Cricetulus griseus: one gene and its partner. The protein of the gene in region 2 purifies or fractionates together with the protein of the main gene of each other region. This does not show direct contact. Links are inferred from orthologs where the notes say so. Each region holds a gene or a part of one and is shown on either strand. Other genes may lie near its edges. The genes, in order: Spidr and Swsap1.

Region 1 (6,769 bases), about 61 Mb from region 2:
AATAACTACCATGACCTCTTTCCACACACCAGCACCACCAGTGAGTTTCTGATTGGGCTTATGTGTCTGGGAATTCAGTGGGACTTTTCTACTGGCTGTATCAGTCATTATCCCCCTCCCAACTGAGATTATCCCCATGTCACTCTGTACTCTAGGACCAACTATTTATTTCAGTATTGCCTTTTAAGTACTAAGACTACAACCAACTTAACCAATCATCAGTCCATAGGACTACTGTAAAATGAACCAAAGATAAGTTTAGCTCTTTCCATGTTTTTTAATGGTATGTCTTTGATCAGTGTCTTAGTTAGGGTTTCTATTGCTATAAAGAGACACCATGACCACAGCAACTCTTATAAAGGAAAACATTTAATTGGGGTGGCTTACAGTTTCAGAAGTTTAGTCCATTATCATCATGGCATGACAGGGTAACATGCAGGCAGACATGGTAGAAGGAGCTCAGAGTCCTACATCTTGACCGGAAGGCAACAGGAAGTAGTTTGAGACACTGGGTGTAGCTTGAGCATATATGAGACCTCAAAGTCCACCTCTAGTGGCACTTCCTCCAACAAGGCCACACCTACTCCAACAAGCCACATCTCCTAATAGTGCCACTCCCTAGAGTTTATGGGGACCATTACATTCAAACTATCACAGTCAGTTTTGGTAAACATTCTTACTCATTTCCTAGCCCTCTAGACTCAAACACACAACAGAGTTCCATACTCAAACTTCTTTATGTATCTCCACGTAAGCCTAACATGAACCATCACTCCTTCCCTAAGGGAAAAACTATCAGCCATTAGAAAGTTCCATGAAACTCAGCTTTCTTTCTCCCTGCTGTTCTTATTGCCTAAAACTAACATTATTCTGTATAGAACTAAATCCTTCTAGAACAGTGAAACATTCTTACTGGTAGTTCCTCTCTCCTGCTTTCCTGAAAATCAAAAGCCATACTTCAATTCTAATGTAAGTATACACTCTGTTTAAATAATTTCTACCAAGTGACAGCCATCAAGCAAGAAACACTTATAAAAGGTCTGGAGATGAGAACCTGAAGTTGTGTTGGGAAAGATGTCCCGGCTAGTTTTATGTAAAGTTGATACAAGCTAGAGATATCTTAGAGGAGGGAACCTCCATAAGATCAAGTTGCAGGCAAACCTGTAGGGCAATTTCTTAATTGGTATAGATGGAGGAGAGCCCAGCCCATTGTGGGTGATGCTGTTCCTGGGCTGATGGGCTTGGGTTCTGTAAGAAAGTAGACTGAGCCGGGTGTTGGTGGCGCACGCCTTTAATCCCAGCACTCGGGAGGCAGAGGCAGGTGGATCTCTGTGAGTTCGAGGCCAGCCTGGTCTCCAGATCGAGTGCCAGGATAGGCTCCAAAGCTACACAGAGAAACCCTGTCTCGAAAAACCAAAAAAAAAAAAAAAAAAAAAAAAGAAAGAAAGAAAGTAGGCTGAGCAAGCCATGAGGAAGCAAGCCAGTAAGCAGCATCTCTCCATGGCCTCTGCATCAGCTTCTGCCTCCAGGTTCCTGCCCTGCTTGAGTTCCTATATTGATTTTTTGATGATAAACTGTAATGTGGAAATACAAGCTTAATAAACCCTTTCATCCCCAAGTTGCTTTAGTCATGGCATTTCATCACAGTAACAATAACCCTAAGACAAAGGGGGTCATCAGAAAAACACAATTTTCCTTATTTTTCTCTTACAGTCTTTAAATATCTCCCCTTGCTTCATTCTCTTTGAATGTGCTTATATTTTACTATAGCATATACATCTCCAGTGAGTATCATCAGTCTTTGGAAATATCTCTCAAGCTGTTATTTAGGTCAACAGTGTCTTGTCCAATACTCTATGAGCAGAAGTTAAAGAGCTGAAACTGATATTAAATCTGTGATCAGGGTAGTTCTCCATGTTTCTTCACACCTAGTATACTCACAAGCTTATCACATATTTACCAGTTATGGCAGTTGCTCTAGGGAGCATGAATTGGAGGCATCATTCCTAATCTTATAATGTTTATACTAATGAATCAAAAGTATAGACCAGCCGGGAAGAGTGGTGCACACCTTTAACCCTGGCACTCAGGAGGCAGAAGCAGGCAGATCTCTGTGAGTTCGAGGCCAGCCTTATTTGCAGAGTGAGTTCCAGGACAGTCAGGACTACACAGAGAAACACTATCTCAAAAAACAGAAGGGGAGGAAAAAAGAAAAGAATTAAACCTGGCCATATTATGGAAGGTGTAAAAGAGCATGAAGCATGAACACAAAGCAAGCAAGATCATGAGAGACAACCTGAGTGCTATGTACACAGGGCAAATCACTTAACCTCCTTAATCCATAAAAGAGACAAATAGTATTTTCTTCAAAGGAGTGGTGAGAGAATTAAATAAAGCTTTATTATGTGCCGGCTCACATTTGTAATCCCAGCAATGAGGAAGGAGGATGATCACTGCAGGTTTGAGGGCAGCCTCACCTACCTAAGTTCCAAACCAGCCAGAGCTATACATTGAGCCCTGCTCCCTCCTATCCCCCACAACAAAAAATTAAATCTCAGATGAAAGACAGGTGTGGTGGCACTTCATGGTACAGGCAGGATGAAGAGGTTCAAGGCCACCTTCACTTAATCATGAATTCAGGGCCAGCCTGTGTTACATGAGAGCCTGTCTCACTTGCTACTGAGAAAGTCTACTTCTCTGTTTTAAGCCACCCCATGGGAGGGGGAAGAGGGGGGAAAGAAAACTGAAACTTACCAACCACTACCTCAGCAAACTTGGGAGAAGACCCTGTGGGAATTCTTGAGCTAGAACCATAGGGCTAAGCTACACTCAGATTCCTGGCCTTTGGTAGCAATTCTGGTTGAAAAGTGCTTCAGTTTTGAGAAAATTTTGAAACAGCAACAACTAACACGACTACTGAAAAAAGTATTGAAACATAACAGAATGAAGAGGGCAGAAGTAAAAAGTCAAAAATACTAGATTATTAAATTAGGAAAACTGGTTAGGTGCTGGCAAGCTAAGAGAATGATGATTTCATAACATGCTGTGACTTGTCTATACAATAGTGGCAGTTCAAACCAATGCGTAAGTCTGCCCAAAACATGGATGGGCTGGAGAGATGGCTCAGCAGTTAAGAGCACTGACTGCTCTTCCAGAGGACCCAGATTCAATGCCAGCACCCACATGGCAGTTCGCAACTGTTAACTCCAGTTCCAGAGGACCTGGAACCTATGGCAAAACACTAATGAACATAAAATTTAAAAATAAAAGACTGTCCAGGAAAACTCTTAAAGTTGAGAAAAAGCGCAATGTCAAAATTTGGAGCAGGGCAGTAAGGAAAAGTAAATGAACACCTATGACATGGAATCAGGACTTCAGGGATGCTTAAGTAAATAAACACTGATGACAACGGTATCAATTGCTTCAATAATAAAGTAATTTATGGTAGATTTAACAACGTTGCAATTCCTTTTTTTACATTTTAATCTTTCTGATACTGAATTAGTTTTTAAGTTATACGTTATACATGCTTTTGGTCCCTAAATGAGCTACAAAGTTCGCAATGTGGTCTATCGGGTCTATTCGAGAAATAACAGTGATTAGGCAGTCGAGGCATTTATGTGGGATATTTTTGCAGCAAGTTTCTCCGTTAAAATGAAGGGCAGACCAAGAAATGAAGCACTGTTTGCTGTTTTAAATTTTGAGTATTATGAAACAACTGTGAGGAACTTTGAAAAGGCAAACTGTGGTCCAAGAGGAACACAAGGACGGAGCAGTGAAGAGAAGGTCCTTTCTCTTAAATGTCATCCACGTACAGCTCCTGCACGCCACGCCTACAGTAGTGTACACATCCGAGAAGCAACTCCTCTCAGGAAGTTTGGGCGGGAAAGCAAAGTGTGGTGAAAGATACCTGCTGTCTTGGTGTGTTAAGCAACAGAGTAAAACGGAGACGAATGAATTGCCAGACTCCAGCTAACACCCTCATTCCAGAGCGCGTTCCGTCCTCCCGGTCTGCCACCCACGCGCTCAGTTCCCGGGCTCCCGGGACCGCTCGGCGCAGACCCGAGGGGGAAGGACAGCCTGCCCCAGACCGACCGGCACAGCCCGCGCGTTCCCAGCACACTGGGCCAGGGCCAGCCACGAGAAGCCCACGGAGCCGCGCGCCCGGGCCTCGGCTTCCAGAGCGACAGCACAGCGTACCTTGGACCCGCCCGCGCCGCCACCTCCAGACATCTCCCACGCTCGCCGCCCTCCCCTGGCACTCCCCTCCCCTTCCGGAATCCATTCCCTCCGGAAGCCGCCCCTCGAGGACTCCGCCCCCTCCGAAACCCGCCCCTCCCGCGCTCCGCCCCATCCAGAAGCAGTCACTCTCACGCTCCGCCCCTCCCGGAAGTCCCGACTGAGGTGCCACAGGCTTAGGGTGAGCTATCTTCAAGTTTCGACGCCCGAGGGCGCTGCTCTCCTAGGCTGTTCCTTAAGCCCCTTGGGCAAGGCCTTAAGGCAGTTAGCAGGATCAAGATGTCATAGTTCAAATTGTGTTTTCTGCAGCAACAATGAACCATAAAATAAAAACCCCAAGTACATTAAGATTCAATAATAATTGTTAATTAGTAATTAAATGTTAGTAAGCCCGAGAAAATACTTCCCTAACTAATGAGGAAGAATTCACAAGTATCAAGAGCAAAGATTATCATTTTTAAAAAGATTTCAGGAACTCTAGTTGGATTTGTTACACAGATGATTTCACATACTATGGATCCGAGGTGACGTCAGAGAACTTACATTCTTTCTTCTAGAAGCTGGTTCAGGGATCGCTCTAATTTGGAAGAAGCGATCACTCCTTGGATGTTTTAAAGCACTTGAACATACTTGTCACTGGGTGCTTTGAGACTATTTCAAACCAACAGGAAGGACAGCTGGTACTTGAGTGGAAACTGGATTAACAGCAGAGCCTGTGAAGATTTCTATTGTCAAAAAGTACTAAATCATTCATTGTTGAGACTGTGTTGGCATGGGACTGGAGAGAAACTGGCTTAACCGAGGAAGACTCTAAAGACACACATTAAACAAAAATACTAAACAATTTGCATTGTTGAAAAGTGTTAGCATGGATAAAGGAAAGGATTCTCACAAAGTTGTGTTCACAGATGTATACAGAGTGGAGCTTAGAGCCGGAGGTGGTGACTCAAGTCTGTAGTCCAAAGATAGGCAGAGCCAGGGAAACAAGACCCTCACTAACCAATTAAAGAGACTGCTAAAAGTGAAGCAGTTTTTAATATGCCATTCTGCAAAAAGGGACTCCAGTGTAGGAAAAAAGAAAAAGGACAGAATGCTGGCATGCTGACTTGGCCCAAGACTTGTTTTTTTGTTTTGTTTTGTTATTGGTTTTTTTTTTTTTTTTGGTTTTTTGTTTTGTTTTGTTTTCTGTCTGTCTGTTTTGGTTTTTTGAGACAAGGTCTCTCTACATAGGCCTGGCTGTCTTAGAACTATGTAGACCAGGCGGGCCTCGAACTCACAGAGATTCTTCTGCTGCTGTCTCCCGAGTGCTCAGATTTTTGCTGTGTACTACCACACCTGGCAAGACAATTTTTTTAAAACTCCCTAGTTGCAAGAAATTCCTGCCCTCCTTTTCCCATTGACTGATACTTTAGAGAGTTACAGTCTTCGCATCCTTCTAGCATGGCACCTTTCCCAGGTTCCCCATCCTTCTGGTTCAGGATACAATGCCTTATCTAATGACTACTCCCTGACTTGAAAGTACCTTCATTTCTGATGTGGGCCCAGTCCCATAGCCTGCAGCCTTCCAGCCCTGGAGATCTGAGACAAGTGGACACCACCTGCCCAATGGGGAAGAAGGGGGTCCAGCATGTCCTACTTATCTGCAACCCTTTAACAAGCTCTAAGTGCACCTCATATTGAAAGTTTACTACAAGGATTTATTTCTAGCATTGAATTCAAGGTCAGCAATGGTGAGTTCAAGACTATCCTGGGCTATATGAAGATTAAAACTAAGTTTAGTTTCTTCTTCAAATGTACTTTTTTTTTGTCTTTCTAGGAATGTGTAGTCTTGCTGTTGCGTGTGTACTCACTCCATCTGTAGTCCTGATCCAATGTTAAGCTGTCACTTCCTCTTACAAAACTCTTTTTCACTGAGTGTTTCGGCTCAACTTTTGTAGCTACAGATTTGAATCTGAAGGGAACCTGCAGGAGCTACAGAAACACCTGCTGAAATACGTCGACTCTGTGTCTCATTGCAAAGAAGTGGACCACAGATATGTGGTTAGGAATACAAATATATAAAAATACAAATACAAAGAGTCTACTTTAAAACTTGAAGCACTCCCAAGAATGGGAGTGAGCTAGTGAGTTAGAAAAACAAAATGTGCTCCAAAAGCATGTGCCTGGAGGAGCCTCATGACTCTTTATCGGACATCCACATAATACCCTCTGCTCCAATATTGATATAATTTGGCCTTTCTTGAGCATACTCTGTTGTGTGAGACCAGGTGAGGGATGATTTCTTGCCTTCCTCTACCTATTGATTTCTTCTACATGTTAATATTGATACAGCTTTCTCTAGTCTGTAATCTCATGCCATAATTTTCTCCTGAAAGTTATGATCTCAAAAATCTTTTGAGGGAGCACAATTATGATGGGTCAGTCTTATATAACCAAACCCACGCTGATGAGAGGCACAGTCCCTGACTAAGGAGGACCACAAAACTCCCTACCTTATCTGTTGGTAGGAAAGGAGAAATTGTATTTTCTG
Region 2 (6,293 bases):
ATATATATGGGTGCATGTATGCCTCAACTCATGTATAGCAGTTGATTCTCCTCCCACCTGGAGGCAGAATGCCTTGTGTTCCTGCCATACTTTGTGTTTATGCTTCTGGTTGTTTCTCTGATCTCTGTCCATCTTGCCTTTGGATGCTGGATCAGACCACACACCACAACCAGGTTTTTTGTTTCTTGCACAAGTTCCAGGGATGTGGAACTCATGTCTTTAGGCTTGCATGGGAAATGCCTTTACTAGTCCATATTTTAGTTATTTTGTCACATGGTAGCTGAAGGTGACCTTGAACTCAAGTGCTGGGACTCCAGGCTTGTTCCATCACACTGAGCTAATACAGTGCTGGGGATTGAACTCGAGATTCATACATGGTAGGTAGGGACTCTGCCCTCTTCCAGGACCTCAGTAAATACCCTCAATTCCCATCTTTCCTGGATCTAGACTATGGGAAAACACAGCTGAAGTTTTTGAGCTAAGATTGGAAGTTTGGATCTGGCAACGTGAAGAGGGATCACCACAGTCAGTGCACATTTGACTAGCTGCCAACACACCCACCTGAAACTTAGTGTCTTATCCAATGCTCTGTGACACTGCTTCTGGGGTTGTGAACTAACATCCACTCACCCGGAATAGAAATCTGATGACAGACCAAAGTAGAGTGCCACCAAAGTCCAATTTGATGAATCAATGAGTTATTGGTGTATGCTCAGAAATATGGGTAAGGGATTACTTATGAAAGTGGAAATGACTCAGATGGCTGCATAGCCAAATCCCACCCCAAAATGGGTGACATCTCACCAAAACTGGGAACCTGGAGCACACTACACAGGCTGCAGACAGCTCCACAGATTGTAGAGCTCAGCTTGTCTGAGAGTTTCAGGGACTTCCCGAAGCCTTTGAGTTGTTCACTTCCCAAGCTTACGGGGCTCCCATTGCAGGATGGATTATTCACCTCCCTTTACAACACCCTGGTGTTGGGCTTACCTCCAAGACGGATTTTTGGGTTTTCTTCCTTCCTTCCTTTCTTTCTTTTAAAAGATTTATGTACTTTCATTTCATGTTATGAGTGTTCTGTTTCTATATATGTATGTTCACCACTTCATGTCGGTGCCCAAGAAGGCCAAAAGAGAGCATTAGATCCCCTGGAGCTGTAATTACAAGTGGTTGTGTCTGACATGGATGCTGGGAACTGAAACTAGGTCCTATGAGAGAATTCTTAACCATTGAGCCCTCTCTCCAGCTCCCTAGTTTTTTGATTGACTTTGAGACATGGTCTCACTTTGTAGCCCTGGTTGGCCTGGAACATTCCGTATAGATCAGGCTGGCCCTGTGCTAGGATTAAAGGCCTAGCCCTTTTTTTTTTTTTTTCTGACAGGGTCTAGTGTAGGACAGAGTGGCTTCCAACACCTTAAGTAGCCAAGGATAACCTTGCATTGTGACTTCCTATCTCTACATCCCAAAGCTGGGCTTACCATTTTGCAAAACACCACGCTCAAACTCAGTTTAATGGCTTGAAAAATGTTATGTCCTAAAAAAGCTAAATCTGTGCATACTCTGTACAGAGTGATTCTACTTCCAACCGTATACCCTAAACACATGTGCAAGGTCATGTATGTGTATGTGATTAGACTCCCTAACAGTAATGTAAGCCAAGACACAGAGGTAACTCATATGCAGGCACCATAGAGTACACAGAAGAAGCCAAGTGTGGAAGCACACTCCATATGCCCTGCCCACAAGGGATGAGCCTGGAGGGTCAGGAGTTCAAGAATAGCCTCAGCTAAGTATTTGGTCTGAGGCTAGCCTGAGCTACACGTGATCCTGTGGGAAAAGAACACAATAAGTAAGAAGAAATGAACTAGGAAACCTCAGATGATTATATTTATTTATTTATTTTAAAGGTTCTATTTATTATTATTACTATTTGTGTGGAGGGCATGTGTGTGCTTCTACCCAAATGTGGAGGCCGGAAGACAACTTGCAGGAGTCAGTTCTAGCTTTCTACCTTATGGATGCTGGGAATCAAAGCCAGGTAATCATGCTTATTGGAAAGGCCCCTTATCTACTGAGCCATCTTGCAAGCCCAGCTCAGCAATGCTACATTTTCCAGGTCTTTGATTCCGAACCTGTCCCTGAAGGAAGTATTCTATCCAAGGGAAACTGAGGGTCAGAGAGGTTGCCACATTCCAGAGTTAATGACTGGCTTTCAGCACTTGAACACTTTTTATCTGGGCTGGGCTTAGAAGCCTGGGTAGGCCATGGGATGATCTTCATCTCTCCACTAGGTAAGAAGGTCACTGACCACTCCGTCCTGGGGCTCAGCTTGCCCAACTCCAGGCTGGCCCGCAGGCAATGGTGCTGTCCCAAGTCTAGGGCATCTGGCTGCAGCCAGCACAGTGCAGGAAAATACCGTTGAAGCAATGTCAGATGTGGGGCATCATTGTCTTCTTCTTTTTGGGTCTCTAGGGCCACCACAAGCCCACAGCTGCCATTGGCTCCAAGACGGTGGCTAAAGTAGGCAGCAGTATCCAGAAGCAATGCAGCTAAGTAGGCGGCTTCCTGGACCCCTGAGTCTTCAGCTAGATATTCTTCCAGGCCATCTAGCAGTAGAAGGGACGGGGCAGGCCCTGGGGTCTCATGGGCAGAGGCCAGAAGCTGGAGAAGCTCTGGAACTGAGGATGGGTACTGGAATCGAACCTTCTAGAAGACAGGAAAAGGCAAGATTTAACATAGGAGGCCAAGGCTCCCTACTATGGCTGCCATGACTCTTCCATATTTTCCCAGTCGAGCCCCATATATAAATTTCGAGGATGAAGCACCAGCTCAGATATTCTTTGTCCTTCTTTGTCACCTGTCCTTTTCCAGCTTGTATCACTGCCCAAAATCATTTTAGTTAAGATTCTTTTTTTTTCTTTGACACAGGGTCTCATGTAAGCCAGGATGACTGAAAACTCGTGATGTAGCCGGATGGCCTGACCCTTCTGAAACCACCTCTTGAGAACTGAATCACAGGCGTGCATTGCCATGCCGGGTTAGAGGAACGAAACCCAGGGCTTCATGCATGCTAGCTGAGAGCTCTATTTTATTGTTGTTGGGAGAGAGAACGCGTGCTTCCAAGGGAAACTAACTCCACTTTAGACTCCACCTCCTTGGCGCCCACGCCCGCTAATGCCGAGCGATCATAGGACGGCCTTTCATTCACTCTTAACTAAACCCGCACTGCCCCGCCCCGTGCGGCTACCCGCCTCCTCCACCCACTTCGTCCCCGTAGGCCTTCTGACGCGCCATTGGCCTGCCGACCTGTCACTCATGCACCACCTCTCTTGCCATTGGGCGACACGTTCCAGATCCGGCCCTCCGGTTACCTGGAGCCGCCAGGGGTTCCGCGCTGCGGGTGTATTGAGCGGCAGGCTCTGAAGCGGCCTTCGTGTCATGAAGAGGACAGGCCCGCGGCCTTCCCCTGCCGCCTCGAGGGCGGCCGCAAACAGCAGCGAAGTCTGCGCGGAGCGCGGAGCGCCTAGCAGCAGCAATGGCGGACCCGGAGCTCCCTCCTCCCCGGGCCCTGCCGCGCGGCCTTCATTCAGCACCCGCCTCAGCGCCTCCGCCATTTGCCGAGTACCGCTGACCAATCAGGGATGCGTCCTCCTCCCGGGCCCGCCCACACCGATGTTTCATTGGCTATAGTTCGCAGCGTCACTTTCGGTCTCTGGAGCTGTCGTAAATGGTCAAAACACGGGACATGGAGCAAAGTGGTGCGTGAGGGAATCTGCTGCCGGAAGCCGCGTGATCAGATTAAAAGAAAGGTCGAGGGTGCAAACGCGCTCCCCAGAGACGCCTAGCCGTGAAGGGCACCAGCTGCTCTTCCAAAAGACCTGGGTTCGGTTCCCACTTCCTACAGGGTGATTTGCAAGCGTCCTTAACGCCAGTTCCTAGAGATCCGACGCCTTCTTCTGGCCTCCGCGGGCACGAGACACACATACATACCCGCGTGCGCGTACACACACACACACACACACACACACACACACACACACACACACACACACACACCCTGCGTAAAAATAAATCTTAACAAACAAACAAGCAAACAAAAAACTGTAGGTCACCCTTAGCTACATATTGAAGTTTTCGGCCAGCCTGGGCTACATGAGCTCCTGTCTTAAAATAAATAATAAAAACCAGACTCCTAACCTCAGCTTGCCCACCAGCAAAACGAGTGTTGTGATCCCTTGGGGTCATTGCAGTGTGTTGGTGTGAATATCCGCTAATATCGCCGAAGGACAGTTCACAGATGGAAAGGGACAGCTGTTCGCTTGTCTCTCCTTGCTTGGATATGGGAATATGTTTATATGGGCTACAGATTTGGGACTCAGATTTTTTCTTTTGATAGGGTGCCAATCATTTTACATTTCCTGGAACTCTGAAGATGTCTTATGCTACCATGCCAAGTTAATGCAGGGCTGGGGATCAAACCCAGGGTTTGTACGTGTTAAGCAAGCACTCACCACACTGCCTCATCCCTAGCCCTCAATGAGGGATGTTGGTGTATGTGTATGTACTCCCATGACACGGTGTGCATGTGTTCAGAGATGGGATGCGGTTCTTTCTCTCCTACTGTGTGGGTTCCCAGGATGAAAGATCTTCAGGATTGGTGGCAAGAACCCTCAGGCATCTCACTGACCCTGATTTCTGTTTTAATTTTAAAAAATCTTTATGTGTGTGCAGGCAGGACTGTGCCACCCCAGGTGTGTGGAGGTCAGTCCTTGTCTTCCATCTCATTGGAGGCAGTGCATGTTCACTGCTGTGTAGATCAGTCTGGCTGGCCCCAGAGCTTCTGGGGATCCTCCTGTCTCCACCCCCAAAAGCTCATCACAGCCCCACCATGATACTGATAATGTGTCTGGTATTTACACAACCCTCATGCCTACACTGCTAGCACTTTCCATACCGAGCCTTCTCCCAGGCTCCCTCTATGAGGGCTCTTAAAGGTGCCTGCCATCTGCCTTTCTCCTTGGCCTAGGACCGTCTTAATGCTTGCTTGTGTTTATGGGAGAGAGAACATTGCTTCTATTGAGAAATACTGGAGAGGACAAGTTGTGCAAGAGAACGAGGGCCTTAGATGCTTCTTCATGAGAATCTGCTGTCCACACCGTAGAATTGCAATTCTTTTATTTATTTTTATTTTATGTGCATTGTTGTTTTGCCTGCATGTTTTGCCTGTATGTTTGTGTGAGGGTGTCAGTGTTCTTAACCACAGAGCCATCTCTCTAGCCCTGAGAACTGTAATTCTTGTTAAATCATTGAATGAAGGAAGGAAGAATTAATGAGAACCAAGATCCCATTGCTCAGTCTCTTCACCCAGACTTGGCTCTAGAGCTGTCACTCAAGCCTGTGTTTCCCTAGAAACCTTGTCTCCTAGTAACTTCAAAGTGGTATGGTTGCCTGGAGACCCAGGAGCAGGGCGGAACTGTGATTTCCTGAGTTTACTCCTCTCTCCTTCTGGGGACAGAAAACAGCTCCACAACATCCCCCATTACACCCACACACACAGCTGGACACCCCTATACCTTGCACGCATGGGCGTGCACACACACACACACACACACACACACACACACACTGAGATGACTATGTGATTGGCATTCTGTACACATATGTCCTTGGCACACTGTTACACTGCTCTGTGAAGCATGCTGCTTTAGTCTCCCACCCCCATCGCAGACACACAGCCCGACACTACAAAGCATAAGGCGCACAAGCCCCAGGTCACAGGAGCACACTGAGCACAGGCACTTCTTGCTTCATGCCCAGAAGAGTTGTTTCTAGGGGCTCTATCTAGCTCTGTTTTTGCTTGTTTGTTTGGTTTCGTCTTTTTCTTCCTTTCTTTCCTTCAGCACTGGGGCTTGAACATAGGGCTCCACCTATGTTAAAGCTAAGTAAGCATTTTAACCCTGAGGTACATACATACATACAGACAGACCTGCCCCCCTTTTTTCCCCTCACTTAAAACATTTTTATTTATTTATTTATTATTCCTATAAGTGTTTGCCCGCATTTCTTATGTGCACCACGTGAGTGTGGTGCCCTCAGAAGTCAGAAGAGGGCACCAGAGCCCCTAGGACTGAGCTACCATGTGAGTTCTGAAAACTGCAACCAGCTTCTCTGCAAGACCAGGGTTCACTACTGAGCTATGTCTCCAGTCTCCCCTCATATTTTATTTATTTATTTACTTATTTATTTGGTTTTTCGAGACAGGGTTTCTCTGTGTAGCTTTGGAGCCTATCCTG

What was found.
Region 1: the proteins of Swsap1 (region 2) and Spidr purify together in Homo sapiens (co-immunoprecipitation; 3 studies listed by BioGRID and IntAct, with this or other methods). This does not show direct contact. The link is inferred for Cricetulus griseus from reciprocal best matches to the Homo sapiens genes SWSAP1 and SPIDR.

The regions. Positions count from the first base shown.
Region 1 is NC_048597.1:73,354,263-73,361,031, reverse strand, and holds the start of Spidr (DNA repair-scaffolding protein), read right to left. Parts: upstream 4,194-6,769; 5' UTR 3,986-4,193; coding exon 3,911-3,985; intron 1-3,910. UniProt on the Homo sapiens protein: Plays a role in DNA double-strand break (DBS) repair via homologous recombination (HR).
Region 2 is NC_048597.1:134,850,182-134,856,474, reverse strand, and holds Swsap1 (ATPase SWSAP1), read right to left. Parts: upstream 3,641-6,293; 5' UTR 3,615-3,640; coding exon 3,372-3,614; intron 2,707-3,371; coding exon 2,104-2,706; 3' UTR 1,875-2,103; downstream 1-1,874. UniProt on the Homo sapiens protein: ATPase which is preferentially stimulated by single-stranded DNA and is involved in homologous recombination repair (HRR). Has a DNA-binding activity which is independent of its ATPase activity.